Linked DNA regions of Ovis aries. The protein of the gene in region 5 purifies or fractionates together with the protein of the main gene of each other region. This does not show direct contact. Links are inferred from orthologs where the notes say so. Each region holds a gene or a part of one and is shown on either strand. Other genes may lie near its edges.

Region 1 (4,275 bases), on a different chromosome or scaffold from region 5:
TTTCATGAAATGTTACCCCTGAGCCCCATGATTTTTAACCCTTCTCAAAGTCCAGTTTGGGAAGTGTCGGGGAGGAGACTTGGCCCAAGTGAGAGGGTGGTTAGCGGGGAGGATAGACAGTGTGACTTGGGGAAAGTGCAGCCGTCTCACCAGGGCCTCACTCTTCGTGTATAAAGTGGGGGCTGAGGATTAAGAAAGACCCAAGGCAGGTGAAGCACTTGGAACCAGGCCTGGCAGCTCCCCAGCTGTTGCTGGGGTGGAGAGGGAGGGCGGGGTCTCCACCCACCTGATCACTGTCTGCCCAGCTCAGGGCAACTGGCTGCTATCTGTCTGCTTTGGAACTGCCCCAGAAACCGGATCTTTGTCCTCCATTCAGTTGGATTCTTTCTCCTGCTTCCCTGAGGCTGGGGTGATCTAATTGACTCCCCCGAGATAGAGGGAGACTGAAGCACAGCCCAGCAAGGGCCACACAGTAAGTCAGGCCTCTGTCAGCCCCTGTTTTTTTTTTTTAACTAGAAGTAAATAGAATTGTGTCAGATGGGTTGATAGGATATTGGAAAGGTGTTTTTTTTTGTTTTTTTTTAACTTTTTATTTTGTATTGTAGTATAGCCGATTAACAACGTTGGCATAGTTTCAAGTGGGCAGCAGAGGGACTCAGCCATACGTACATGTGTATCTGTTCTCCCCCATCCATCAGTCCCTGTTACCCAGAACCAGGAGTGATGAGGTGAGGTGGGGGCATCCAGCCCATGGGGGTGGGTCAGAACTTCTTTACAACCGGCCCTTGCAGGCCCACACGGAGGGAGCCCTGGGCCCAGAAAAGGAAAGGACTGGCCTTGGGTCACCCAGCAGGAGTTGAGAGCGGCACCCGAGGCTCTTGACAGAGTCTCTGCCTTTGGCCGTTGGCTTGAACTGTTTATAGGCAAGATAGACGTTGCAAATTGAGCCCAAAGGCCACCCTCAAAGAGCAGCCATTTTAAGAATGAGACCTGGATTCTGACCTACCTTGTTTTCCTATTTTGTGACCTTTGTTCCTCTCCAAGACTCAGTGTCTTGGTCTCTAAAACAGGGGTGACTCACTAGGTCCCAGAGAAGAGAGGTAAAGTATCAGCTGCCCCCTGCACGGTGCCTGGCCCTTAGGCCGTGAGCACCTAGGACGTGAGTGGCTTGCACGGGCGGATAAACAGGCCTTAAGGAGGAATAACCCCGTGCTTGGGTCAGGGCTGGCCCAGGGACACTGAATACCAGACACACAGTGATGACCATGGCCAGAACCAGTTTACTGGTCGAGGTGAAGGGCTTGGGCTCAGGCCTCCCCAGCATGTCCTAGAAATCCATGTCCTCGGCCAGGTCCTGGAGATACGCCATGTACTGGTCTGAGGTGAGGGAGAGGGGTTGGCTGTTGGAAATGTGCAGGTCGACAGTGTTCTCCAGGGAGGAGGCACCCCCTTGCCGCGCTATGTCTACAAGAACCCTGAGGCACATGGGGACAACCTGTGAGAGATGGGGGAGAAATTGTCAGGAGACACCCCAACACCATCCACTACCCAGGATGGGGCTGAGTAGACTACAAGTCCCAGCATCCCCCACGATAACCCAGGATAAACCAGGTCCAGGCCTGCTGGGAGTTGTAGTTTCCCCCATATTCACACCCAAGTTCAGTTCAGTTCAGTCTGTCAGCGGTGTCAGTCTCTTTGCAACCCCATGGACTGCAGCACGCCAGGCTTCCCTGTCCATCACCAACTCCCAGAGCTTACTCAAACTCATGTCCATCAAGTTGGTGATGCCATCCAACCGTCTCATCCTCTGTTGTCCCCTTCTCCCACAACCAAGGGAGGCCACAAAAACTAAGGTTAAGGCTGCTGAAGGGGTTCCTAGAAGCTAGGGAAGCAGCTGGTGCTCAGAAGGACTCTTGGGAGCTGAAGTACCTCACACAGGCTGCTAGGATTTGTAGTCCACCAACTTCCACATGGTTGGGCGAACTCAAAATTGGCTCTGGGAGAAAGGCCATTGGAGGGACACCCAGAAGCCCCTGAGGAAGAACTGGCAGTTGCAGAGACTGCCAGAAGAACTATGGGAGCTGTAGTTTCTGGAAGCAGCCTTCCTTTTAAAATCCACCCCTCAGCTCCAGGAGCCTGGGGCTGGCAGTACCTTGACCATCACAAGCCTCTTGATCCATGGCTGGTCCTGGGGCCATGACTGCCCCACACAGAACCAGAGGGTATAGAGTGGTGAACGTCTGCTTCCTTCAGTGAAGGTGATCAGATCTGGGGGCCAAGGAACAGAGAGTCAGGGATGGGAAGAAGACCTTCTACCTGCCCCTCCCCTCTCCCCCAAAACTTCATTAACATCCTTATCTTCTCTCCTGATCAAAAGCCCGGCATACCTCTGCCACCATGACTGGGGGCTGTTAATTTGGGGAAAGCCCCTCCACTTATGCACAAGCTTAAATGTTCCTCCTCCCTCCCTCGCATCAAGATGGGGCTGGAAGGTGAACCCCACCCCGCCCAGAGCCCCAGCCTTTGGATGGGGAAACAGGCCCAGGAGGGGCGTTCTCCTCCCCAAGGATGCTCAGTGGTTCTGGAGGACCAGATCAGTGGTGGTGACTGCTTTTTAACCCCTCAAGGCCACACTGTCCACTATGTAGCCATTAGCCATGGCTATTTAAGTTTTAATTGTATCTAATTAAAATCAAATAAAACTTAAAATTCATTTCATTTTCACTCACATCTAAATACTCAGCGTCCACATGCAGCTAGTGGATACGAAGCTGGGCAGTGCAAATACAGTGCTATCTGCATCACTGCACCAAAGTCTATTCGGATAGCAAGCCTCTAGGGGATATCTTTCTCCTGCATCTGTCTTTCCACCACAGTTGGTAATAATGATAATGACTCTGGCAGCTAATTCCCTGAGTGGCTTCTGTATGCTGGGCCTGAGCCCCCTGCCAGCTCCAGGCAGGTAAGGAGAGGGAGGAGACAGTCTGCAGATTTCACAGGTTCAGAGCAGTCCATCCTTCTCCCCAGGTTCAAGCACAAGCAGAGCCGCAGGGTCTGAATTCCACCTCCAACCTCCTGACCCCAGAGATTTTCACCACCGTTGCCTCCTGTTTCCACAGCAAAGCGAAGGCCCTGCCTCACTCACCTGTTATGAAGGGCCCCAGGTTGAACACACCTCCTTCCCTGTCCTTCGGGACCTCGCCGTCAGGCTTGTGGCCACAGCTGGGGAGGAGTTCCTCGCCTATGGCCCAGTACACGTGGCAGTGCCCCAGCCTCTGGGCGCAGAGCCACTGCCCGGCCCGCCACAGGGCCAGCCCCCCGCCCAGGCAGCTCAGCACACGCTGCACGTAGTCTGTCACGCTCTTGTCTGTCAGGGACGCTGCGGGGTCCGGCAGTCGTATTGGCTGCCCGGGCAGCATCCTGTCCCCTGCTTCTGATCCCACCAGCCGCAGGCCCCCAGGGCAGAAGACAGTCTGCTGGAAGACTTGGCAGCCCCGGTAGAAGGCAGTCACCTCGAACTCCCAATCTGAGCAGCAGCAGCCATAACGCGAAGGGGGAGAGAGAATGAGCAGGTGTAAGGGTGTTCTCAACTCGGGTCCTGGCCCCTCCTGGCCCGTAGCTGGCACTCACCTTCCTCGTTCGCCAACAGCTGCTTCAGGGGGTTTTCAGAGAGTCCCCAGTTTGGGCAAAGAGCAGGGATGTCTGATTCGGGGCTCAGTAAGAGCTGAGGGGGGTTCTCAGAGGTCATAGTCAGATTCGAGGGCCCTCCTTCTGGGCTCAAGTCCATGTCACTCAGTAACTTCTGCACAATGTCTTCCTGGACAGGAAAAAATAAAGATCCAGGTGTTTCCATGGCCTTTTCTGGAGACTTCCCACTGACCAAGCTTTTGTATTCAGCCATGTGGAGACCCAGAGAGGAGACAGACCTGAGCTTTGCCCTCAAGGGGCTTCCAGCCTGGGGGAGACACAGCCACCAGCACAGTAAAAGACAGACAGCTTGAGTGTATGCTTGGCACTACAATGGCCCAAGGGGAGCAGCTAATTCCAGCCTGAGGAACCGGCTCTGTGCAAGCAAGACCTGGGCAGAGGGCCTTCCCTGGTGGTCCAGTGGCTAAGATTCCGTGCTCCCAATCCAGGCAGCCCGGGCCCCATCCCTGGTCAGGGAACTAGATCCCACATGCTGCAACTAAGAGTTTGCATGCCACAGCTAAGACCTGGTGCAGCCAGATAAATACTTTTTTAAGAAGACCTGGGCAGAGAAGTCTCAGTAGAATT
Region 2 (4,845 bases), on a different chromosome or scaffold from region 5:
TGCTATCTCTCAGATACAGATAAGTTACAACAGTCAGAAGCTCTTCCCTTGCTGGTCCAGGGACATAGTTTTCTTATACCCTGGACCAACCAGAATGAAAGGAAGACTTCTGCCATGTGTAATTTTATTATTTATCTAACAGTGGATTGATTCCAAACAAATTTGTATAGCTGATTAATACAGAAAATCTTAAAGACTACATAAGAGGCAGCAACTTGAGATGGAATTCGTATGAGAAAATACAAGGTAACATTTTAAAACAGTAACATCAACTAAAATATTGAGAGAGAAATGGTTGTAAAATTCAAATCTAGTACTGTCTATTTTTATAGTGCATATATGAATGTTATAAAAGCATCTGTTAGAAACTGGTGGCAATGGCAAAAAGTCCTATACCAGTTCTTGAATGTTCTCTTACAGCTGGTAGAAAGAAGTACAAAGTTTGGCAATACTTGGCATGGGCCAAGATAGGTCACAATCTTCTGAGCAGTGCATTAAAAAAAATATCTATAGATTACACCGAGAGTTCATTTTACAGCTCTTTACTAGATTATGTAAACCGCAGGCATGCATCTGTAAGCTGCGGGCATGCATGATGGTTTCTGTGATCTCAGAGCTTCACTCTGGCCAAACAAGATAAAAATGCTCGAACTTTACACTAGACCCAAAGACAGTCTCTTCTGTGGACAGAACAGAAAATTCCTTCCTCTACAAGGCTATGCGAGCTTGCAACATAAGACTAGGAGGATAAAGCTCCTTACTAATGAACAGGTTGACAGAGCGCAACATGGAGCATGATGTGAAAACATTTTAAATGGCGACCATACACAGTTCCTTCCTCCCATGACTGCAATGACATAAAACCCAAAGTCCTTCAACAAATTCCTGGTGCTTTTCCATCTTAAGGTAGCTTACCATTTTATGGTCCCAGTGTCCTGCAAAAGTGGGTGGGACAGCCCACCCATATCTTTATCTGATATGTTGACCCCTTCATGGAGGAATAAAGTTACTTACAGGGAAATTCAGTTTCACCAAAAGGTATACATACTAAGTCACATTGGTAAATAATGGTGTTTCTAACATCTCTTAGAAACTGGCAAGGGGACAGAAGTCTACTACCAGCCCCCAAATTCACCCACTTCCATACATCTTTGATTGCAGACACATCAATAGAAACAGTGAATTTATACATAACGAACAAGTGAGACAGAGGTAAAGGCAAAAGCAGTGTCAGTCTGTCTGAGTGTAGGCAATGGTGCTTTGATTATACCCGTACAAACTCTTCAGTCCCTTTTAGTTATCCCCAGCTCAGCTCTTAAGCCGTAGACTTTTGCTGCAGAGAATTCAGATGTGATGTGGTTGCTCCAGTAACACTTTTAACAGTACTGCATTCAACACTGGGAATGGTTTCTAAACAATTTAAACTGCACACGGAACTTTAGTAGAACAAGAAGTTTATTACTCCCACTCAGTAGTTCCTGGGGGCTTTGATGTTAAGTCATACATAATTCGAGAAATACCAGGAATCTTCTTAATCTCAGTGACCATCTTTAACACCACCTGTTATAAAATAAAGATTATAAATAAAGAGCTAGGGTCCATTGCATGTTTAACAGAGCTAGAATCTGTAATTTCATTTGTAATTTCAAATTAAAACACAATCTATTTTTACCACTGTTCTCTATATATATGGGCTTCCCTTGTGGCTCAGCTGGTGAAGAATCCACCTGCAATGCAGGAGACCTGGGTTTGATCCCTGAATTGGGAAGATCCCCTGGAGAAGGGGATGGCAACCCACTCCAGTATTCTGGCCTGGAGAACTCCATGGGTTATACAGTCCATGGATTCGCAGAGAGTCAGACACGACTGAGCAACTTTCACTTTCTAGGTGTATGGGATACATTTATGATTAATTTACGCAGTGACTCCACAGATTTAAGTGACTTAAATTCAGCAGTACTCATGCAGTCTGCAAGTCATGGGTGTTACTGGTCCACAGCAAATGTTTAGAAGCATCTATAGCAACCTGACACTGCTGCAGCATTCAAGCATGAGACTTCACGTGCGGAAGACAACGCTTCACAGATTCTCTGCGGCTCACAACTCCAAGGCCACTACGGTGGCAAATAACACAGGTAATAATAATCACTGCTACATGTATAGACGAGGAAGGCCTTGTCACCTAACTGGCCAGAGGCTGGGCAAATGCAAGCCTAAGGGAAAATAGACTCTAAGCCACATTCTCCAAACCACATTTCTATACTAGCTAGTAATATAATCAGAGCCCTGTATTAGAGTCCTGGAACAGTGGTACAACTAATAAAGTCTTGCTTTGACTTTTACTTGCTATCTTAGAAACAGCTCCTCTGGAAACAACACTCTAGTGCAGGGATAACAAGAAAGAAGATGATCAAAACTGTAATTGCTAGTTGGCAGAGCATGAAGAAATTCATGGGTGCCTGGCCATAATGCTGTATCTTATATCTAACTGACTCTTCCTTCCTCACTCCTAGGGTTTTCTGTTTTACTTGGAGGACATTATTTATAAGGCAGAGGTTGGCACGATTAGATAAAAAGATAGATTAGAGTTGGGAGTCTCCACATAGTAATCAGACATCTGGAAGAGAGGTAATATACTTAGGGCCTTTTCCTACTATAATGTATTAAATAATGAATTATGTGGAGATTTAAAAAATTAGAGCCTATTTTATGAACAGAAAACCAACCTCAGAAATATCAACATTGCCACAGCCTATCCCATTCACCATTATTATAAAATGTTAAGGTATTAAATATGTACATCAGAAAAAAAATGTATCTATTACCTCTATGGGGATCTCACTGCCAGGGGTTGCAGGTATACCAGTCATGAAATCGCTAGTAATAAAGGTTCGAATAACCACAGATCTCTGGCAAGAAGGTTGCTTCTGAAGTGGGTCCCGATCAAAATGCAAAGGTGTCAAAATCACTGGCATCTGGCTGATTTTCCCAGCATACCCTAGGGAAAGGAAGTTAACATGTAGAATCAATTACCACGCCATAGGAAAGCACTCTCAGTTCAATTAAATCCTTCCAGACAGGACCTACAATCACACACACAGACACACCTCTTCTTAGGACTGTCATCATGTACTATATTCAGCTACTCTCATAGCACTGTAAGCAAACGCAATCACAAATACAAATTACAGAGTCTGATGAATGCAGTGATATGCTATACATATAAGTCAATTCATTATTCATATAATTATCTTCTATACTGCAAACACTGAATAAGAAAATGCTGAGCCACTAACCCTAGAGGGAATACGGAATTAGGGTCTTGCAAGCCTCTAGTCATAACATATTCATCAACTGATCAATATATAACCTTTCTTTATGTGTTTTCTGTTTAAAGACACCTTACTCAATATCTATTGTAGATTCATTACAGTGAGCTCACAGCCAATGGCACTGTAACTCTAGCTTGAAGGAAGCTTATCTAACACACCTATTTTCTCAGTAAGGCACATGATGGTCTTCCTGTGCTTAGGAACCTAGTCAGCAGCACCTCAGCACTAAGCTTAGAGGACATTTTTAAACAGTGAAATCACCAACAAAAAGCATGAAAATGCAAAACAACATGGCATTAAATAGACGACAAAAAAGACACCTGTTAACAGAAACAGAGCTGAAACAAGACAGAGGACTGCCATCTTCAACCTCAACTGGGAACATCTGAGCTGAGCAACTCAAGTTTTGTCACTTTGTGCATGTCTGCAAGTGACCATAAACATGAGTAAGTTCTATATGGATAAGGCAATGTCACAGAACTACCCACAGAATCAAATAGGAATACTAAAAGCTGAATCCTCCTACTAAAAATCATAAAGCCAAGCTTTCAAAATCTAGTTGAAGCATGTAGTAATGAACAAAATGGGCAACTTACCAGACTCCCTGAGAATGTTATGGGCCTCAAAATCAGCTTGGCGTAAAGTACTGAGTACCCCTGTGGTCAAGAAAGTGGGAGTAACATCTGTAGGAGGTTCTTTAACTGGTGGGCCAAATATATAAACAACTCTAGAAGGAAGGAAGTGAAAATTATAAAGAAAATACATTTTAGTATGAGGAAACAAAGCACATAAAATAACATTCTCTGCATTTGTTCTTAGGCCCATCTCTTACCCACTTCAAATCCCCAATGGGAAGGACAGGATTATAGAAGGTAGCTGTTGTCTGAACCTTCCTCAAAATACATTCTCTGAAATACTAGTGTGAAGATAAACTTGATTATCACAATCCTCTTTCCATTTAACATACTGGATTGAAAAGTATACCCAAAACTTCATGTTCATCTAGAATCTGGGGGTGAAAACAGGGTCCTTGCAAATGTAATCGAATAAAGGTCATAATTTGGGTGGGGGCGGGGGGAAGAAGGCTAATCCAATGATAGGTGGGTGTCCTTCTAAGCAAAAGGCAATCTGGAAAGACAGACACATGGAGAAGAGAGGGCCATGTAAAGATGGAGATGAAGACTGGAGTTCGACTGTCTCCAGGCAATGACTACCAGCAAACATCAGAAACTATGAAGAGAAGAATTCTCCCCTAGACCCTTCAGAGAGAGCAATGCCCTGCTGACATCACCCTTAATATCAGAGTTATAGTCTCCAGAATTGTGACATAATAGAATTTTATTGTGTTAAGCCTTCTAGTCCGTGGTGATTTGTTATGGTAGCTCTAGGAAATCAATGCACAAAAGCCTGGGGGAAAATGATTAAATAAATAGGTTTTAAGGGCAATGCTAAAGAGTGCTCAAGCTACCGCACAACTGCATCACCTCACACGCGAGTGAAGTAATGCTCAAAA
Region 3 (4,845 bases), on a different chromosome or scaffold from region 5:
TCGCAGCCGGGGTTCATCTTGGCCCGGTAGCTCTGCAAAGGGAGGAGGAGGTGCTGCAGTGGCAGGTACAAGGGCTGGGCCTGCGGACCCGGGGACTCCCGTCTGCTGCCGCCCTCACCTGAGTGTAGGCCATCACGAATGTGTGGGAGCCGTCAAACAGGAAGAGGCTGTTGTTCGTGGGGCCGGCGCTCTGCTGGGCCTGCAGCTGTGAGCACATCTCGAAAGCCACGCAGGCCCCGTAAGAGTAGCCGGCGATGCGGTAGGGCCCCTCTGGCTGCACCTGCCTGATGCACTCGATGTAGTAGGCAGCCAGGCTCTGGATGCTGTCCAAGGGTGCCGCTGTGGGCACAGCATGAGGCTTAGCCCTGTCTGCAGGTGCCTTGCCACCCCCAACTCCCTGGGGGGCAGCCCAGTAGGCCCCTGACATACCTCTTGTACACTGTAGGCCATAGGTGGGGATGCTGAGCTTGGCGGCCAGGCTGTGGAACACGGTGGTAGAGCCCTCTATGGGGTGCACCAGGAACAGGGGCCGCTCGGAGCTCTGCACCGAGTTGAGCCGTGTCAAGGTCGGGCCCTCGGGGTTCACCAGCAGGGTGCTCAGGTTCAGCTGCGTCTGCGACTGGGCAGGGCTGCTCAATTTGTGTGTGGAGTTCGTCAGCTCTGTGAAGAGGGGCAGATACCAGGGATGATACCATAGGGTCCCCTGCCACAAACACACAGACACGCACACCTGTCGGCCGCGGGTGGCCAGGGCACTGGGGGCCCAAGGAGGGCTCTCAGGAAGGGGCCAGATGGACCAGCCCTGACCTGCTTGGAGGCCAAGAGCCCTGAGCGGACAGTGCTGCTTCGGGGACACCCTCTCCATACCTACCATCAGCCGTGCCAGCCTGTGCGGAAATCTCCTGCAGCTTGCGGATGGTGAGCTGCCGGATTTCCCGCATGGACAGCGTCAGGTTGCGCTCACGCTCCAGCGTCTGGCGCACCTCCACACCCATGAGTGAGTCGAGGCCAAGGTCTGAAAGCGAGCTGTCCGGGTTGATGGTGGCCAAGTCACGGATGCCTGGGGGGTGAGGAGGCAGCTCAGTTGGCAATGCGGGAGGGGCCCTGGGTGGGTATTGTACCCTGGACATGAGTTTGAGTAAACTCCGGGAGTTGGTGATGGACAGGGAGGCCTGGTGTGCTGCGATTCATGGGGTCGCAAAGAGTTGGACACGACTGAGCGACTGAACTGAACAGATTGTACCACGGGACCCACAGCCCCCACCCAGCTCTGCAGACCGCCTGTGCCTCTCTCTCCATGAGCAAGCCCAGCACGCCCCCCTTTGGCAGCCTGGAAGACCAGACTCGGGAGTGGCTGCCGGTGGGGAGGGGGCAGGATGTTGCCTCACCCAGGATGTGAGCCACGGCCTTCACCAGGTCCTGCTGGCTGCCGCTGGGGCCACGGGACGCAGCCTTCTCTGCCAACACAAAGCTGCTCAGGACGGGGTGGGGCTGGTTCAGGAAGAGGTCTAGCACCTCCAGGCAGGAGGTGATGCGCTGGGGCAGTGTCCCGCCGATGGCCTTGTCGTTAGTGCCCTTCAGCTCCACGAGGATGCCCACATCAGCAATTGCGCCCCACTGCACGGCGAGGCCTGTGGGTGGGCAGTGGTGCCGCGGTGAGTCAGGGTAGCTGTGAGGGTGGCACCGCGCGAGTCGGGGAGTGGTGGGTGGGCCCACCTGGGAGGCCGTCGTGCTGACGCTTCTCGCATATGCGCTCCATGGTGGAGTTGGCGAACCCATAGTTGGTCTGGCCGGCATTGCCACGCCCGCAGCTCACCGAGGAGAAGACCACGAAGTAGTCCAGCTCCGGGCATGCCTCCCGGGTCACCCTGTGGGTTCTTAAGTCACCCCCAGCCGGCTTCCCCAGCCCACCGGCTGTCATGCCCAGGACTCCTGCTTGTCCACCAAACTGCCTCCCCTTCCCTGGACCTGCGGTCAGACCCCAGCAGAGGCCCATGGCCAGGTCTCCAGGTCACCAGTGTGAGGGCCGTGCAGGGAGAAGGAGGGAGAGGAGAAGGGAGGAGCCCACCTGTCCAAGTTCAGGGTGCCATTGTACTTGGGCTTGTTGACGTCCTGGAAGAACTCAGGGGTCTGGTTATCCAGCATGGCGTCTCTCAGGACCTGGGGTGAGGGGATCTTAGCACCTGCCTCGGCCCCAGGCCTTTGGAGGGCTTCTTGGGAGGGGCCCTTCCCTGGGCAGCCGGCTCCAGCCCCTCTAAAGCCGTCCTCACCACGGCCAGGTTGAAGACGCCTCCTACGGGCCCAAGCTGGGCGGCCTCAGTGATAAGCCTCTGGGTGCCATCCAGTGAGCTGACATCTCTGGTGGACACCAGGACCTGCACACCCTGGCGTCTCCACTCACGGACCTGCCTGGCTTGGTAGCCTGTGGGACACAGACAGTGGGAAGGGATGGGCAAATGAAGGTCTGGTCCCAAGTCTAGGTGCCTTGAGAGCACCATAAAGGGGTCTGAAGAAGGCCCTTCCCACTGCCCCACCCTCGGGCCACTCACCTGTGCGGATCCCAGAGCGGGAGGTCAGCACCAGCTTCTGGGCCCCTCGCTCCACGAGCCAGTGGGCCAACTCTAGGCCAAAGCCACCCAGGCCCCCAGTGATGACGTAGCTCTTGTGGGCTGGGCAGAAGGTCTTGCACAAGGCCGCCATCTGGGTGGGTTTGGTCCCGTGCAGCACTGCCTTCTGCTCTTCCTCACGCACCTGCAGCCCAAGCAGGGCCCCTGTTCACGCACTGCTGGCAGGGGCAGGGGCCAGAGACCCTCAGGGCACCCCACTCACCTGAATGACCACTTTGCCGATGTGTTTGCCCTGGGCCATGTAGCGGAAGGCGTCCTCCACCTGGGTCCTGGGGAACACTGTTCGCTTGAGAGGCTGTACCACACCCTCCCGGATGCCCGCCTTCAGCAGCGATGACACTTCCTGCCACATGGTGCTGTTTTCTTCAAAGAGTGCGTCCAGTAGGATCCCGTGGAAAGTCACGTTCTTCAGGAAGATGGCCATGCCTGGACAGGTGGGCGGGCAGGGGGGCCTCACCACATAGCCCACAACCCCCCACCCTGCAGATCCCCACTCTGCCAACAGCCCCCTGCCCACCCAGCCGCCCACCAGGCCTGCTGCCCCATCTCACCCAGAGGGTGGTTGTTGGAAAGGTCAAATTTGCCAATTTCCAGGAATCGACCATGCTGGGCCAGGCACCGCACACTGGCCTGCAGCTTCTCTTCCGCCAGGGAGTTGAGGACGAGGTCAACACCTTGGGAGAGGGGAGCAAGCAGGGTCCCCATAGTGAAGATCACAGCCCGGCTAACCTAACACAAGTCTGAAGGGCTGGACCCTGTCCCAGCATGGGCCAGCGTCTCCTCCAGCTTGGCTGGTGAGTGGGGGATGGAAGGAAGAAGGGGCCGAGGATACAGGTCGATAGTGGGTGGTAGGTGATGGGGACCACTCACCCTTCCCGGCTGTGTGCCACAGGACATGCTGCTCAAAGGATGTGTCCCGGGAGTTGGCAAAGCTGGTTTCGTTGAGCTGGGGGAACCTGGACTGGAGGTATGCCCGCTTTTCGGCTGACCCTGGCAGAGAGAGGCACACCTGGTGAGTCTGGGCTTTGGCAGCGTTGCCAGGCGGACAGTCCTGGGCTCTGGGAAGAGCTGGAGGCTTACCCACAGTAGTGAAGACGCGGCAGCCCAGGCTGAGGGCAATGGCGATGGCAGCCTGGCCTACGCCGCCAGAACCCGAGTGAATGAGCACGGTCTCCCCTGGTTGCATGCGCCCGCGGACAATCAGCGCGTAGTAGGCTGTGCTGTAGACAACGGGCACCGAGGCGGCCTCCTCGAGGGTCCTAAGGGCGCAGTGCAGGGATCAGCTCTGGCCTGATGCCTGGCCACGTCCACGTCGGGCCCCAGGTCCCAGCCCTGGTGACTCACCAGTTGGAAGGCACGTCCCACAGGAAGCTCTGAGGCACCAGAGTGGAGGTGGCCAGGCCTTCGGCGGGTACCAGCCCCATCACACGCTTCCCGCTGGCATCTCGGCCAGAGAACTCCATGCCTAGCATGCAGTTCCGAGAGGCCCAATTTCCTGGGAGCAGATGGCGGGTGAGTGAGCCCCTGATCTCACTGGGAGGAGCCTCCCAGGTTCCTGAGCACTGCGGGGCGAGGACCCCTCTCATCCCAGGCCCTGGCCCCGGGGAGGGGCGGGCTTTATTCTGGTGCCCCTACTGTGGGCTGCCTGTACCTGGGATGGCGTCGGGGGACAGCTTGCCCGTGGCCAGCATGATGTCGCGGAAGTTGAGGGAGGCGTAATAGATGGTGCAGAGCTGGACGCCAGGGCCCGTGGACTGGCTGTGGCGCAGAGGGGAACAGACCCAGCGGATGGAAGACAGGTCCCCTCGTGTGAGTACATTTATGAAGGCGTGCTCCGTCTGCTCCTCGGGCTTGTCTAGGGGGTGACAGGAAGTGGAGCCCTAGGATCGCACATGGCCCTGACCTGGAGCAGGGCTTCCAGCCAGAGTCCTCTTGCCCTCTCCTCAGTCCACCCACCTGGGAGGCGAGGAACCCGGAGGAGCAGGGCAGTCCCGGGGGGCTCACCTTGTTCCAGTGGGAAGTGGCGGAATGCTCCCCAAGCCCCATCACGGTAGACGTTCATCACCAGGTCACTCTGGAGCACCTTCTGCAGCTCCAAGGACTTCGGGGCTATCTCAGGGATGGGGGACGTGCTGTTAAGGTTAGACACCAGGACGCACCTGTGGGCAGCCAGACAGGTAAGGGGAGGCTGTGGTGGGGTCTTGGGGGCAAGGGGCAC
Region 4 (4,620 bases), on a different chromosome or scaffold from region 5:
GAAATACAGGGGCTTGTTCTGAATGCACTGGACTGCGGGGAGGAGAAAAGGGTCAGCAAATGGGCTGCACAATGGGAAATGCTCAGGGAAAACCGGGGATGCTCCAAAGCCCCGAGTGCTTTCAAATCAGGGGAGTCTGATGGCCATAGAAACTGACGCATATATGTGTGTTGCCCCCAAGGACAGAGCCCTTTCCCTGGTTATCTTGTTCTGCCTGGGCAGCTCTCCATCCTACCAACATAACCCTGTCTTCAGTCCCACATCTTAAATTCATACGATGAAGATTATGAAACTACCTACAACATGTAAAGAAGTCACACTTCCCAAAGCCACCCGAATTTTCAGGGTGGTCATTTATTACTTCTCTGCTTCAGCACAGTGGACTGAAAGCTGATGTCCACTAGGATGGGGCAGGGGCGGGGGTGGGGTGTGTGTGTGTGTGTGTATGTGTGTGTGTGTGTGCGCACTTGCTTACCCAGATTCAGAAAGGCATTTTCCAGGTCTCCTTTGACCTCCTTCTTGATGCTCTCCAGCATGTCATAAGGGCTGTAGCTCTTGTACCTTTCAAATACTAAAGAAAAGCAACAAACAATTATTGTAACAGCCACTAAGAGAGCTGTCAATGGTGACCCACAGAGTTACACATCACACACACACAGATGATCACAGCATTCTGGGGGTTAGGGACTGCCTTGTGAACCAGGGCCAACACTGCACCAGTTGCCCTGGGGCAGCCCTCCCATGCATCTGTCCTGAATGGCACAGCCCAGGGCGTGTATTTTGACCATCTTCATCTCTATAGAGTGGAACCCATTTTATCTAAGCTACTAGAACCAGTATGTAGCACCCAGCCAAGTCCATTATTTAAAAAAATGTGGCAAGAGAAAATGACACCTATTTTATCTAAGCTACTAGAACCAGTATGTAGCATCCAGCCAAGTCCATTATTTCAAAAAATGTGGCAAGAGAAAATGACCTAGACAAGAAGAGGCAGCCCACCAAACAGGCACCAAACATGGAAAATATTTAGGGGAAAAAAAAAGCATCCAAAACGGGAGAGAAGGTTGAAAGGGTTTGGCGAGGAAAAATGCGTGAGATCATAGGGTACAGAGTGGAGAATGAACTCTGTTCTGGCAGACCCGAGCCCCAACACAGACACCCGCTGGCAATGACCCGTCTGGGAGGGCCCTTCATTCGGGCCCCGGGACTCTAAGACCTCCCCAGAGCAGCACCCACCTTTCTGGAGGTGGCACACGCTCCGCTCAGTCATGATGCTGATCCACTTGGGAACATCAGTTCCTTTCCTCTTCACACCAGCATCATAGAGATCCTGTGAGCACAACCAGCCAGGAAAGTGAACCCCACAATCCAGAGAGCAAGGTCATTAAAAACACATCACACACACACAAAAGAAGAAAAAATCTACGCTTTCAAAGTGCCAAATGAGAGAGGATGGCATGGCAGGCACAGGAAAAATGTGCTATTTTCTTGATCAGTGTCAAAGTCTTGCTCCGTCCTGAGGCACGGACACGCAGTACAAGACTAGGTTGTTTGTGAGGCTGATGCTGAACCAGTCTTCCCTGAATGCCGAGGGAAGAACCAAGAGCTTCTACTCATCTACAGGATAAGCCAATGCTCACTAGCGCCTCCAGCTCGCCTCCATGTGGCCCTTCCATTTACTGAAGACAGCTGCAGGTCAGGTGCCCACCCTGGGCTTCTTAGAGACTGAGAAAATGATACAGCTGGGAAAAAAAGCTGCTTCAACCACATTCTCAGTTTCTAGAAAATTTACGGGCTACAAGTAATGCTAAGAATGTCAAGGAAGGCGGGAGAAAGGCTTACGCAGGAGCCAATACTCATTGAGTGACTGTCCACTATCTGGGCGCTGCAAAGCCTAACTTCCATTTCTTCATTAAAAAGCTTTTTCTACCTTCTGCTAAAAGTGCTGTGTGAAATATACTGAATTTTAAAACTAAAATGAATTAAAATTAACCTTGTTCTTCAGCTCCTCTGAAATACACTGAGACATCTGTCGACCCTCTGGGAAAGGCAGGCAGTTCACAGTGATCTGAATCAGCTTCCCAACTAGTTCTCAGTGATTATGGGATGAGAAGCAGCAGGAGTTTCATCTGGCCAGAAAGGAAGGAAGGACCTCTGCCTCCCTCGTCTTCTCCCCCACCACCCGGGGCAGTGGGCTTCCCCGTCCCTGGCCACGCCTCTACCACCCCCTTCCACTGCTGTGTGTTGTATACTGTATTAGGGTTCTTTTGCAGCAACTGCACACCAGTGCGCGCAGCTGTAGCACACCCTGCGGAAACTGGTTCCTCCATACAAGCAAAGCTTGAACGAGCAAATGTGAGTCAGCTGCTGATCCTGGAACTAACACCGGCATTAGAAGGTTGTATAACTATGGCTCCCAGAAAGTGCAAATGAAGCCCACAGGTTCTTAGACGTTTCTCACTCCCAAACATGGAGCCCACCTCCTCTCCCGCTGTCTGGAGGCTGGACCTAGGGACTTGCCTCTGATGAACAGAGTGTGGCAGAAGTGACAGTGTGGGGCTCTTGAGGTCACATCCTAAATGGCACCTGGCTTCCTCCTGATGCTATCTCTCTCAGATCACTCCCTCTGGGAGAGCCTGCTGTCACACTCTGGGAACACTCAGACAGCCCCTTAGCGAGGCTCACGTGGAAAGGCACTAAGGCCTCCTGTCAACAGTCACGTGGGTGGGTCATCCGGGCAGCCTCCTGATGCAGTCAGGCCCTCAGAGGATGCAGCCCTGGTCAACAATTTGTCTGCAACCTCATGAGAAGCCCTGAGCCAGAACCACCCAGCCAAGCCACTTCCCAGTGCCTGACCCACAGACACTGAGGGGTAATACACGCTTGTGGTTCTAAGCCACTGAGTTTCGACGTAATTTGTTACGCAGGACAGATGACTACAAAGACTATCCAGAGACTAGGAAACAAAACATCAAACCAAGAAGCTTGGCACTGACCCTGGCGTCCTGATCTATCAGTTCATAATCAATGACAGAGCCATCCTCTGCTCTCCGACCCTGAAAGAAAAAAAAGAGAGAAAGAACATCAAATGTATATCTTTGTACATTTTAAAACTGAAAATGTTGATTTCTCCCCAACTCATGTAAGCCACTATTTACTGAATGGACACCCTCTGAAAATTATTCTTCACTTAAAAGTCTAGGCAAGACCAAGGATTGCTACAATTGAGGCAGTGAAGTAGGGGGCTGTACCCTCTGTGGTACCCATTCCTGGGCTAAGCACCTTATAGAATCCACCCTCTGTCCACCCCTTGAAAAGGTAATGATATTTAAATTCCTTCCCTCAGAGAGCACACAATCCAGAAGGAGAAATAAGGATGGGATAAATGGTAAAGCCAAGTATCTGTGGCTCTAAGCAGATGTGAAATGCAAAAGAAGGGAGAAATCTGTCAAGTAGTATCATCAGCAAAGTCTATGGACAACGCGGTACAGCTGAGGTAAACCCAAAGGATGTGTCAGATGAGGGTGGTACAGGGGAATGGGAGAAAGCCCCACGCAAGAGGAAAGTCTCAGAGGAGTGAGGTGAGCAGGGGGAAAGCCTGGGGAGGAAGACTAAGGGAGGGCCAGGGTACAGAGGATGCCTGAGGCAGTTGAGGGTTTGTATGTGATACAGCAGAAATGAGTTTTGATCAGGGTATGAGTAAAACAGTACAAGTAGATTTCAAAATGATGGGTAGGTGACCAGACTCAGGGCAGGTGGTAGAGAAGGGAGCTGGGGAGGGCGGAATGGAGGTGTAGGTGGCCAGGATGGAGTGTGCCCACTTGTCTTCAGGGTTCCTGGATGAAAATTCCTCTTCCCTTGCAGCGCTCAGAGTCATTAAACTGCACATGGGTCAGAACTCAGACTTAGAAGGGAAGTGCCTTTCAGCTACATTAATGTGTTAACCTTGGCAAACAAGCAAAGAGCTTCTCCCCAGGCAAACCACTACCTGGGCAAACCATCCCCTAAGAAATTATAACAGGTGAAAGAAACAAGAGGGTCACTTCCCACTGGGTCCTATGTGACAACATAGAGAGGCAAAATGACTTTCCCCAAGTCACAAGGCTGGCACAGAAATCCAGGCCAGGAGCTAAGAGCTGCCTCTTCCACCTCTGGCCCCAAAGTCCACCTGACCATACGGTTTTGCAGGATAAGAAATCCTATTATACAAAAATGACAACTCTGCAGTTGACAGTGCAAACCCACTGTCAAAATACAGCTGGAATTTCTGATGCAGGCCCAGAGGACTGAGTTAATTCGCTCCCGAGTATAAAATGAGGTATGTAACTTGCTTTGGGAGGAAGCAAGGACAAAGAAACGAGCCGGAAACTAACCTTTGCGAGGGCGACCATCAGCTTGCGGAAGTCGCCAGATGTGTCGGAAACAATGTCCTTCTCCAGATCGGTCTTGTACACTTGGAAAACAACACATCTGGTTTAACACCTCCTGCCTACGCAGCCAGCCACCCTACCCATCCTCTGCCCACTAAGCCTCTGAAAAGCAGAAATCTGTGGCAGCGTGGATGTACCCCTAAAAATGAGGGTGGATTCTCAAGAAGGAATTTTACCCTCATAAAATCAG
Region 5 (5,516 bases):
TTAATCATAATTCCCTAAGATTTGGGAATGGAAGTATCCATATCTACTCCTACTCCACTCTGGCTCTGTCTGGGAATACACACACACCCAATTTTGCTGGGAAGGAAGGTGGGTGAGGCTTCTGGGCCTGAGGGGAATGGGACTGGTGGGGTGCGGTGGGGAGGTGCACCTATCACAGCTGCATCAGCCTGTGGTATCAGAGATTTCCTCAACCTCCTTCAAGTCACCCCTGCTCCCCCAATGTGTCCCTTTGTCTTCATATCTTAGTAACTGAACGAGTAACACCTGGCCCTACTCCAACAAACCTGCAAAGCCAGGCTCATAACCTGGTTCCTAAGTTTGGGAAAAAGGAGTCTTTGAGATAGTCTATGGTTGCCCTCTTCTGCTTCTAACTGGAGGGTCACTCAATACCACCACAGCCTGCCTTACCCTTCCTGGGTCTCAAGTCTACCTCTTCTGGGATCTCTTGGCCATGAGCTCCTTCTGCTCCTTTCTAGTCCCTGGCCCACCCCACCTGCTAATCCCTGGGGTGGAACAAGCTGTAGCTCTCCATTACATTTTGGACCAGTGAGCTGGACATGGTCAAGTAACTACCCGGTCAGACTGGCTTTCCTGTCCTAGGCCTTTGAAAGTGAAAGCGTTAGTTGCTCAGTCATGTCCGACTCTGTGAATCTATGGGCTGTAGCCCGCCAGGCTCCTTTGTCCATGGGATTCTCCAGGCAAGAATACTGGAGTGGGTAGCCATTCCCTTCTTCAGGGGATCTTCCCAATCCAGGGACTGAACCCAGGTCTCCAATACTGCAGGCAGATTCTTTACCATCTGAGCCACTAGGGAAGCCCATCTTAGGCCTTTATGGTTCACTTAAATCTGGTTCTCATAGTCACTGTCATTTCTTGACAACTTGTCATTTCTTGACATTGGGCATCTCTCCTGGCATTCCCCTGTCCCAAACTCTGAGGCCATCTCCAGAGACTGGGCTGTCATCTCCAGAGACTGGGCTCAAGAAGCAGGAGCATTAGAATATATCTTGTCCCTCAGCACCTTTTCCTAAGACTCTCTCTCCATCTGACTGGGAGCTCTTTTTGATCTCCACACTCTTTTAATCCCCTCCATCAAGAGACCTATGGGGCAGCTGGTTCTTGGGGAGTGAGATATAGGGACTGGCATAGCTGGACCCTCCCCAGGCTTCAGATCTAAGATTCCCTTCAGGATATGACTCTTGCCTTAAAGGATGCTTTCTTCATTGCAATGTCCAATTCCAGCTTCTCAGCCATCTCCTGCTTATCTCTTAGTTTCTTTAGTGCCACCTGAAGCTTTTCCTGCAGAGAACGAAAGCAAGATGATACCCAGTCAGGTCAAGAAGTAGGGTGCAGTGGTGTGAAGTGGGGGGAAGATCATACTGGTTCTTAGAAGAGGCTGAGTGCAGAGGACAAGGAAGGACTAGAGTCTGTTTGGGGTAGGAACTCTGTGGATGGGAAGGTTTTGGAAAAAGCCTGATATTTCTTACAAAATAGGGCCACACGGTTGGTGTACAAAGGGTGGGGGCACTGCTTGTTCCTAATTAAGCAGGAGGCCACAAGGGAAGAAGATTCTTGAAGCATTTTCCCATAGCACATCCCTGCTCTGTGAGAATGAGAAAACTGTGCTGAGCTTGCCATTTCCCCCTTAAATAAGACATAGAAGGCAGGAGACCCCTATTCTTTCCCCAGCCCCACAGGTAACTCTCTCCCATTTCCAGCTCTGGGGAACAAAGCCATCAACAGGGCCCCATCTCCTTTTTACCTGTTCCTGCCTCTGTGCTGAGGACTCACCTGGTACTCCTGAGCAGCCTCCTCAATAGGGACCATGGGATGATCACGGTGTTTCTGGGACTGGGAACACACCCAGCAAAGGGCCTTCCCATCTGCCTCACAGAAGAGGTGAATTTTCTCTCTGTGCACCACACACAGCTCCCCGTGTGGGCCCTCCTTGGCACCCTGGCTGATTTTCCTAAGGTTGTCCACCATGTTGGCTACCTGTCGATTGGGCCGGAGATTCTGGAGCAGGAAGTGGCGCCGGCACACAGGACAGACGCTACCTCCTTCTTTCCCGACCTCAGAGATGCACTCCTGGCAGAAGCTATGACCACATTCAATGCTCATAGGCTCCACCATGGGATCCAGGCAGATAGAGCACGTGACCTCCTCCCACATCATTGTCAAGGGTACGGCTGAAGCCATTGGGGTGATGCTCCTCTTCGGTAGTGCTGGGGAGATCTTGCGGTGAGGGGAGAAGAGGAAAGGGACGGAAGAGAAGAGCCAGGTAAGAAAAGGGAACCACGAGAGAGGGTGAACTGGAGGGAGTGAAAACAAGAAAAGACAAGGACCTCAACCTGAATAGTGCTCCTCTTCCATAGTCTGGGTCACTGATCCAGTCAGACAGAAGGGGACACTGAGTCCCCAAGAGATAGCAAATATTGTTGAGAACCTGAGAGACAGCTGCTTACAATTCGACTTTCATCATGTTCATCTCTGCTTAACCGCTCAGAGTCCAGGCTTTACCTATTGATCTTCTGCCTCAGGCCACTGGTTTTCTACTCTGTTGAGAAGCTAATCTTAACAGTAGCGACCATTGACTGTGCTCGTTCCATGTGCCAGGTGCTACATGCTTCACATACATTCTCATTAATCTTTGCAATAGGCAGGAGTTATTGGTATCTATCTAATCATCGGTAACATGAATATATATAAGAATATTTATATTTATGCTTACATATTTTCATAAGGATACACGTATATCCGTAAGTACATGGGCTTCCTAGGTGGTGCAAGTGGCAAAGAATCCACCTGCTAATGCAGGAGACACAGGAGACAGCAGGTTTGATCCCTGAGTTGGGAAGATCCCCTGGGGAAGGAAATGGCAACCCACTTCAGTATCTTACCTGGGAAATCCCGTGGACAGAGGAGCCTGGCGGCCTACATACAGTCCATGGGGTCGCAAAGAGTCAGACACGACTGAGCACACACACACACGCATATGTATATGTGTGTATATATGTATGTGCATACACACAGAAGCGTGAGGTTTATTAAGAACTTCCTGGGCTCTTCTCTCAGCTACCCTGAACCTGGCCCCGCCTTTGTTTCTTCTAGGGCGCAGACCCATAGTTTTCTAATATCCTAAGCAACCCTGTCTCTCTCACCTCCAGAGGGAGCCTTTTGGGGACAGCAGTCTCAGGGATCGCGGACCTACCCCCACACCGGGCTCCCGGACCACCCCTGAGCTAGGTTGCCATCCTGGTTCTCCCAGTTTCCCTGGTTTTTCTTCCCAGCTCAGGTGCCGGCGGAAGCAGAGCAATCCGAGCTCCTTCCAGGGGACATCCCAGTCAGGTTTACAGCCCAGCCTCCTCCCAGGCTGCAGGGGAAAAACTGCTGGGTTAAGGTTGAGGGAGACCTGTTGCGAAAGAAAACCTGAGATCGAAATCTCTAGGGGTGGGGACGGCTTGGATGAGGCACTTCAGACCTGGGGCAGGGGAGAGAGGTCCCCTAGGGAGAGCTGGGGTACCTCGGTCTAGCCAAGTTCACTCACCTTTTCAAGAGACGCAGTGGATGGCAGCCGTTTCCTTATTTCACTTTCGATTCCTTGTCCACCGCAAATCTGAAAGGGAGGCGGGCAGAGCGGGAGGAGAGTGGGCGGGGCCAAGGGAGGAGGAAGGCGGAGGGGTTGAGGTGCCGCCAGAGTCTGGAGCTTCTGGGAGGCTGGGGCGAGCGAAAGCTCCGCAGCCTTTAGTCCTTGCTTTGCGTTCCCTCCCGTGTCCTCATTGTGTAATAGAGTGAAGCATCGTATCTGCTGCGTGGAGGAGCCATGCAGGCCTACGTGCTGTGCCCTCGTGTGGGAGCTGCTTTAAAGGAGGTTTGGATGGACAGGGGTGCCTGGAGGTCTCCTCTAAAGGCCATCTTCTGTTCCCTATTTCCAAAAACAATTCCTTTTCAGGAGACTTGATATTCTTTTAACATCAGGGGGAGAGCAATTTATTCCACAGTACCTCAGCGCATTATCACACCAGTGAGTGGTAAGAAGGGACTTGACATTTATTGAGGCAACAACTGTGTACTTATCCTTGAGCCAGGGACTTTCTCAGGTTGTTTTATTATTATTTTAAATTATGGTGAAGTACGTATAACATTTACCATCTTAACCGTTTTCAAGTGTGTAGTTCAGTGGCATTAAATACGTTCACAGTTGTATACTTCACCACAGTCCATGGAGTCTCAAAGGGTCGGACACAACTGAGCCACTAAGCACAAGAACGGAGAAGGCAAGGGCACCCCACTCCAGGACTCTTGCCTGGAAAATACGAGGGACAGAGGAATCTGGAAGGCTGCAGTCCATGGGGTCGCTGAGGGTCGGACACGACTGAGCGACTTCTTTCACTTTTCACTTTCATGCATCAGAGAAGGAAATGGCAACCCACTCCAGTGTTCTTGCCAGGAGAATCCCAGGGGCAGCTTGATGGGCTGCTGTCTATGGGGTCGCACAGAGTCGGACACGAGTGAAGCGACTTAGCAGCAGCAGCAGCAGCAGCAAGCACAAGAAACCTCAAAGAGCCAGGGAGTAGTGGCAAATTCCTATTTATAAGAATCAGAGTTTTTACTCTGGTGGAAGAACTTCTTTCTTTACTAGACCCTTAGAACAAGGCTGAGCCCTGTGTTGGGGGATGGAAAGAAAATGATCTGTAAATGAGTTACTAGTTTGAGGGAAATAGGAGCTGCAACCACCTCCCTTCTTTATTCTCTGAAGAGTGTGTTTATAATGGCTATAAAAAATACCATCACCTATTAGTTGTTGATCTTAGATGTGCACCAGAATTTATGGTACAACATTCTTATATCATAGAGTGGGGTTTCCAAACTGCTGCCATACCTGAGCCTTCAGCAGTGCATCTCATATTTTTATTGGACCATCTTTTTCTGGTTGATGATGTACATTGTAAGACCACTGCATTCCATAGTGCAACCCCATTATCAGAATTTTTTGACTGTAAAATCAGTTTCTTGGTTGTAAGTGATGTTGTTGGAGACCTTGATGTTGTAAATCGAAAAACAGTGGTGCTGGTAGAAGCAATATAAGATGGCAAATGAATCTGTCTCTGGTATAGTAGCTATTTTGTGAGGATAAATTGCTGTTGGTTCAATGTCATTATCATGCCACTAAAAGACTGCCTAGATTCTCTTAGAAATAGGGAAAAATCAGGCTCAGAGTTGGTCTTATATGTACAGGTTTCTATAGCAGTAGGAATACAAATGCTGCTTGAGTATGGATTCCTCGGGTTTATCCATTTACCACTACTGATACGGACACTTGTACAAGAGTCCATTGAATAAGCACCAGGTGACTGAGAAGAGGCTGATCAACATCCACAAGATGGGTCATCTTATTTACCTGATTGTTGTTGTTTAGTCTCCCAGTTATGTCTGTCTCTTTGCAGCTCCCCTGGACTATGCATGACAGGCCTCCCTGTCCCTCATCATCTCCT
Region 6 (4,845 bases), on a different chromosome or scaffold from region 5:
GGACCTTAGAAAGTGTCCATTCTAAGCCTGTATGCATAGAAAAGCATAGTTGACTTGTGGTGTACATGCATGTCATTGTCACAGCAGACTGACAGTGGGTCTAAGGTTTCAATGACTAGACCAGGGCCATCTGGACCTAGAGGCAAACAGGCACAGATTACTAGCTCTATCCCATAAATAAAACAGAGACTACGTGAGGCATTACTAATTATCAGAGTTAACAGTAATAAAAACAGTAACACGATAAAACTTGAACAATTATGTTAAAAGAAATGTCTTCAACTGGTATGCTTGGATTCGTATAGAGGGCTTCAGCCTAGGCAGCTTGGAACTTGGGTGACAAGCTATTTTCGTGATTTAAATGTTGCTTTGGCCTATTTCTCCTGTCACTTGCTTATTTGCTGCAGGAATAGGTGTTGTACCCCAGCGTGATGGTAACCACAAGGGTCATATCAGGACAGAATAAAGGCAGGCGAGCATAGGAGTCGATGCACATGTGTGTGTGTCATTTTTCCACCCTGATCTGGTCTTATCCTGGGAATAGGGCACTATGAATGAAAAACGCTGCCTGCCATATCAGTAAACTGAGGATGTTGTGGCCATCAAGCCATCGCATTACAGCTGCCCACACTGTAAGCCCTGAGGGAACTCAGGATAGAAGCAAAATGCCCTCCAGCAAGCAGTCAACTGCTTCAGCCAATCCTGACGGCGCCCCCTCAGGAGACTCAGGGTAAGGATACTGGCCCCAGATAGCTGAACTTTATAGCAAAGGGTCTGTGAGCCCAGATCTTTGCATCTTTCTGTATATAAAAATGTGTTAAATTTTAACTTGAGACATCAGGTTCTCTTTAAAAACAGTAACATTTTGATGTTCTGACTGCCTGGTCCTTGTTAACAAGATTCCTGTATAACCTGCCTCCCCTTCTTGCTTCTTCAGAGCAGCTCTCTCAGAGCTACCTGAGAATCTGTGTCCCCATCTTAAGTCCTCATATTTGTCTGCTGAATAAAGCATAATTCTTAACTTTTAGGTTGTGGATTTTTTCAGTTGACAGGCACCTTATAATTTATATTATAGTTCAGTAACAAAGAAAAATGTACATTTATTATAGTTTCAGTAAGTGCTAAAAAAGGGAAAGTAAACTGACCTTTGAAAGCAAGCAAGAGGAATACCTAATATATTCTGAGAGTGGGCAGGTATCAGTGGGGACTTGCCCTAGGAAGAGATTAAAGTTTGCAACTCAAGACAAGTAATTTCAAACATGAAAAGTGTCTATGTCAAAATATCAGACCTGAGAAGGAGCACCGGACTTTGAAAATGAACCCTGCCATGTGGTCAGTGAGCAAATGGGAAGAGGGCCAAAGGAAAGTGGAATGTATGAAGTAAAGACACACTCATTTTGACTTGTTTTGTCACCTTTCCCTCCTCTTTCTATTCAATACAAGAGAGTAAACCTCTCAAAATTGGAGGTTTCATGAACTCATGCTTTGGTAAACAGCCAAATTAACAAGGAGTTAGAATAGAATGGGATCACAGATTAAACACTGATAAATGAAGGGGTAAGTATAATAAATGACTAAATGGGAAGTTCAATGATGATAATTCTTGTACTTCTCTTGTAAGAAGTGCAAGGAATGGGATCAAAAAGCCGGTACCTTGCTTGAGAAATTGCTGAATGGTTTTGGTAGAACAATTGGAGTCATCTGGCCACTGCTCACAGTTGGGCACAAGCTGGTTGCTGAAGTTCCTGGAAGCTGACTCTGGTTACAAGATATCATCTTCCTTTTTAAGTCCTTAGGTGTGGTGGCTGTGTCACTTTTTTTCTGGATAAAAATAGATTTTTTTCTTAGTTCTTGAAAATGATTTTCAAAATCACACAGAATATAGCATCTTTTCTCTTTCTCAATGTTGAATCTGAACTTTTCAATTTTTTCTGGACTGATAGCACATATTCCAATACCTGTATTACTTATCCTTTACCTACCTCAACTATGATTACAGATTTCACTCTCCAAATACTAACAGCTCAGACAAAATTTCATTGATTTGGGGATGGAATCTGGGTCCTACATCTGATGCAAACTGGCCAAAGCAAGTAGATAAACTTCCCTGGCTATAAGAGAAGTAAATCTCAGTCTAAAGTTGGCTGCACTTAAGGATGTCTGTTAACTACGACTTTTTCATCAAGAAAAGACACAAGTGGGTTTCTAGTATCTATTCTATAGGCTTCTACAAACCTACTGATCTTCTGAGAAATATTACTGGGAAAAATATGGACTCTTGTGACTAATAAGAACAATGACAACAACCACAACAAAACCACAAATTTAAAGTCCCCTTATGTAGGAGTTCTGTCTTCAAGTGGAATGTGCGGGGTGGTGGTGAGGATATAGCCTGAGTTAGAGGGCAGCTTGGGTCTTGGGTAAGAAACTGGGTTAGAGATTGTGGTTTAAATCTTGCCTTTGCCTACCCTTGACACTTATCTTGGGGGAATCTTTTCCTGCCCATTCATCTTAGACACATACTCCATAGTTCCAGGTTTCATGTAACCCAGGGCAAAATAAAAACCAGGTTGGGATAGAGGTTGATGCCTACAACTGTGGACTCACTTTCCCACCCCTGTCTTGTATTCTCTTTTGATAGAGCACCTATACTCCAAGATCATTGTCTAGAAGAGAAGAAAAACAAATTTATTAAAGTTGTGATACACACTATACAGGAATAGTAAAGGATTCTGTAACGGCGATAAAAAATGAGACTATCTATAAGTTTTGGGGAGGGGTGTCTCAGTGAGGACATGCTGAGGAAGGAATTCAGGCTGGTACCTGATGGTTGAATTAATTTAGCCATTAAAGCAACATGAATCATGAGTGTGAATCAAGGAATTAGCCTATGAGCAAATACCTGACATAGGAAGGAGCATAGAATGCTGAGAACTAATCTAGAGGTGTGGTTAAGAGAAAAGGGATGAAAGGAAACCGAAATGTTGGGGATAAACATACCCTTATGTTCCTGTCTAATTGCCTGGCCACCTCCATAGGCCTGTCACATTTGTAAGGTCAGCAATTATTCGTAAATGTAAAAATGTCCAAAAGTCCAAGGACTTAGAACACACTAAGACCTCAACACTTTTTTAATTCATTTATTTAATTTGCCTCAATATTTTATTTGATAAGTTTTGGGGTGATTTGATTGCATAAAGAAGTTTGTATCTAGAAAGGGAATACTGAGAGATTTTTTTCGGGGTCATGAGTATTCTTATAATATGTTGTAAGGAGGGACACGTATTAGGAACAGGAAAATGGTACCTTGGTTAAGGAACTGCTGGATGGCTTTGGTGAAGGCATTTGAGGAGTCTGGAGAAGGCCCTTAGTTGACTCTGTGCTCGTTACTGATGATCCTGGAAGCTGACTCTCCTCCTTGGTTAGCTTCATCCTCTTAGATTCACTAGTTTCGGTGGTTTTCTTTCTCTGAAAAGTAGGATTTCCCCTGCCTGGTTAGTAGTTTTCAATGAGAAATGAAATACATCTTCACTACTTAGAAAATCAACTTTTTATTACTAGATTCTAATTATACTCATTCTAGTTAATCTCATTCTCTGTTGCTCACTTCTCCTGTCCTCAGTCTTTCTCAGCATCGGGGTCTTTTCCAAAGAGTCAGCTCTTTGCATCAGGTAGCCAAAGTACTGGAGCTTCAGCTTTAGCATCAGTCCTTCCAATTAATTTTCAGGGTTGACTTCATTTAAGATCGACTAGTTTGACCTCTTTGCTGTCCAAGGGACTCTCAAAAGTCTTCTTCAGCACCACAATTTCAAAGCATCAGTCCTTCAGCACTCAGACATCTTTGTGGTCCAACTCTCACATCTGTATATGACTACTGGAAAAACCATAGGTTTGACCTTTGTCAGCAAAGTGATGTCTTGGCTTTTTAATATGCTATCTGGGTTTGTCATAGCTTTTCTTCCAAGGAGCAACCATCTTTTAATTTCATGGTTGTGGTCACCATCCACAGTGACTTCGGAGCCCAAGAAAATAAAGTCTGCCACTGTTTCCACTTTTTCCCCATCTATTTCCCATGAAGTGATGGGACAGGATGCCATAATCTTCATTTTCTGAATGTTGAGTTTTAAGCCAGCTTTTTCACTCTCCTCTTTCACCTTCATCAAGAGGCTCTTTAGTTCCTCTTCACTTTCTGCCACAAGTGATGTCATCTGCATATCTGAGGTTATATGTTTCTCCTGGCAATCTTGATTCCAGCTTGTGTTTCATCCAACCTGGCATTCCGCATGATGTACTTTGCATATAAGTTAAATAAGCAGGGTGACAACATACAGCCATGTGGTTCTCCTTTCCCAAATTTGAACCAGCCCCTTGTTCCATGTCCAGTTCTAACTATTGCTTCTTTCCCTGTATACAGTTTTCTCAGGAGGCAAGTAATATGGTCTGGTATTCCCATCTCACTAAGAATATTCCACAGTTTGTTATGACTCACACAGTCAAAGTGGGGGAGGGCTGGCAGCAACAGAGAAGGATGGCATGCATGTACAGCAAGGGCTGTGGGACAAGGACTTCCCGGGTGACACAGTGGAAAGAATCCACCTGCCAATGCAGGAGATGCAGAAGACACGGTTTCAATCACTGGGTCAAGAAGATCCCCTGGAGAAGGAAATGGCAAGTCACTCCAGTATTCTTGCCTGGAGAACCCCAAGTACTGAGAAGCCTAGTGGGCTACAGCCCATAGGGTCACAAAGAGTCAGACACGACTGAGTGACTGAGCGTGCACATAGTCAAAGGCTTTAGCATAGTCAGTGGAGCAGAGTTCAAAGTTTAAAGTGTTAATCACTCAGT

The links.
Region 1: the proteins of TRIM21 (region 5) and IRF3 purify together in Homo sapiens (affinity purification with western blotting; 3 studies listed by BioGRID, with this or other methods). This does not show direct contact. The link is inferred for Ovis aries from reciprocal best matches to the Homo sapiens genes TRIM21 and IRF3.
Region 2: the proteins of TRIM21 (region 5) and GMPS purify together in Homo sapiens (affinity purification with western blotting; 3 studies listed by BioGRID). This does not show direct contact. The link is inferred for Ovis aries from reciprocal best matches to the Homo sapiens genes TRIM21 and GMPS.
Region 3: the proteins of TRIM21 (region 5) and FASN purify together in Homo sapiens (affinity purification with western blotting; 3 studies listed by BioGRID, with this or other methods). This does not show direct contact. The link is inferred for Ovis aries from reciprocal best matches to the Homo sapiens genes TRIM21 and FASN.
Region 4: the proteins of TRIM21 (region 5) and ANXA2 purify together in Homo sapiens (affinity purification with western blotting; 3 studies listed by BioGRID, with this or other methods). This does not show direct contact. The link is inferred for Ovis aries from reciprocal best matches to the Homo sapiens genes TRIM21 and ANXA2.
Region 6: the proteins of TRIM21 (region 5) and interferon-activable protein 203 purify together in Homo sapiens (affinity purification with western blotting; 3 studies listed by BioGRID, with this or other methods). This does not show direct contact. The link is inferred for Ovis aries from reciprocal best matches to the Homo sapiens genes TRIM21 and IFI16.

The regions. Positions count from the first base shown.
Region 1 is NC_056067.1:55,793,360-55,797,634, forward strand, and holds the end of IRF3 (interferon regulatory factor 3), read right to left. Parts: intron 3,818-4,275; coding exon 3,631-3,817; intron 3,527-3,630; coding exon 3,146-3,526; intron 2,269-3,145; coding exon 2,153-2,268; intron 1,496-2,152; coding exon 1,328-1,495; 3' UTR 1,261-1,327; downstream 1-1,260.
Region 2 is NC_056054.1:232,460,905-232,465,749, forward strand, and holds part of GMPS (GMP synthase [glutamine-hydrolyzing]), read right to left. Parts: intron 4,060-4,845; coding exon 3,929-4,059; intron 2,999-3,928; coding exon 2,826-2,998; intron 1,561-2,825; coding exon 1,459-1,560; 3' UTR 1-1,458. UniProt on the Homo sapiens protein: Catalyzes the conversion of xanthine monophosphate (XMP) to GMP in the presence of glutamine and ATP through an adenyl-XMP intermediate.
Region 3 is NC_056064.1:50,290,210-50,295,054, reverse strand, and holds part of FASN (fatty acid synthase), read right to left. Parts: intron 4,787-4,845; coding exon 4,632-4,786; intron 4,483-4,631; coding exon 4,279-4,482; intron 4,123-4,278; coding exon 3,972-4,122; intron 3,887-3,971; coding exon 3,708-3,886; intron 3,618-3,707; coding exon 3,498-3,617; intron 3,302-3,497; coding exon 3,179-3,301; intron 3,054-3,178; coding exon 2,830-3,053; intron 2,752-2,829; coding exon 2,550-2,751; intron 2,423-2,549; coding exon 2,271-2,422; intron 2,161-2,270; coding exon 2,069-2,160; intron 1,869-2,068; coding exon 1,717-1,868; intron 1,632-1,716; coding exon 1,389-1,631; intron 1,061-1,388; coding exon 872-1,060; intron 661-871; coding exon 430-660; intron 340-429; coding exon 119-339; intron 33-118; coding exon 1-32. UniProt on the Homo sapiens protein: Fatty acid synthetase is a multifunctional enzyme that catalyzes the de novo biosynthesis of long-chain saturated fatty acids starting from acetyl-CoA and malonyl-CoA in the presence of NADPH.
Region 4 is NC_056060.1:48,022,442-48,027,061, reverse strand, and holds part of ANXA2 (annexin A2), read right to left. Parts: intron 4,454-4,620; coding exon 4,374-4,453; intron 3,057-4,373; coding exon 2,997-3,056; intron 1,331-2,996; coding exon 1,237-1,330; intron 572-1,236; coding exon 476-571; intron 33-475; coding exon 1-32. UniProt on the Homo sapiens protein: Calcium-regulated membrane-binding protein whose affinity for calcium is greatly enhanced by anionic phospholipids. It binds two calcium ions with high affinity. May be involved in heat-stress response.
Region 5 is NC_056068.1:49,570,722-49,576,237, reverse strand, and holds the start of TRIM21 (E3 ubiquitin-protein ligase TRIM21), read right to left. Parts: upstream 3,625-5,516; 5' UTR 2,922-3,624; intron 2,885-2,921; exon of another isoform or gene 2,753-2,884; intron 2,257-2,752; 5' UTR 2,221-2,256; coding exon 1,813-2,220; intron 1,321-1,812; coding exon 1,225-1,320; intron 1-1,224. UniProt on the Homo sapiens protein: E3 ubiquitin-protein ligase whose activity is dependent on E2 enzymes, UBE2D1, UBE2D2, UBE2E1 and UBE2E2.
Region 6 is NC_056054.1:109,958,811-109,963,655, forward strand, and holds part of interferon-activable protein 203, read right to left. Parts: intron 3,469-4,845; coding exon 3,307-3,468; intron 1,822-3,306; coding exon 1,654-1,821; intron 1-1,653.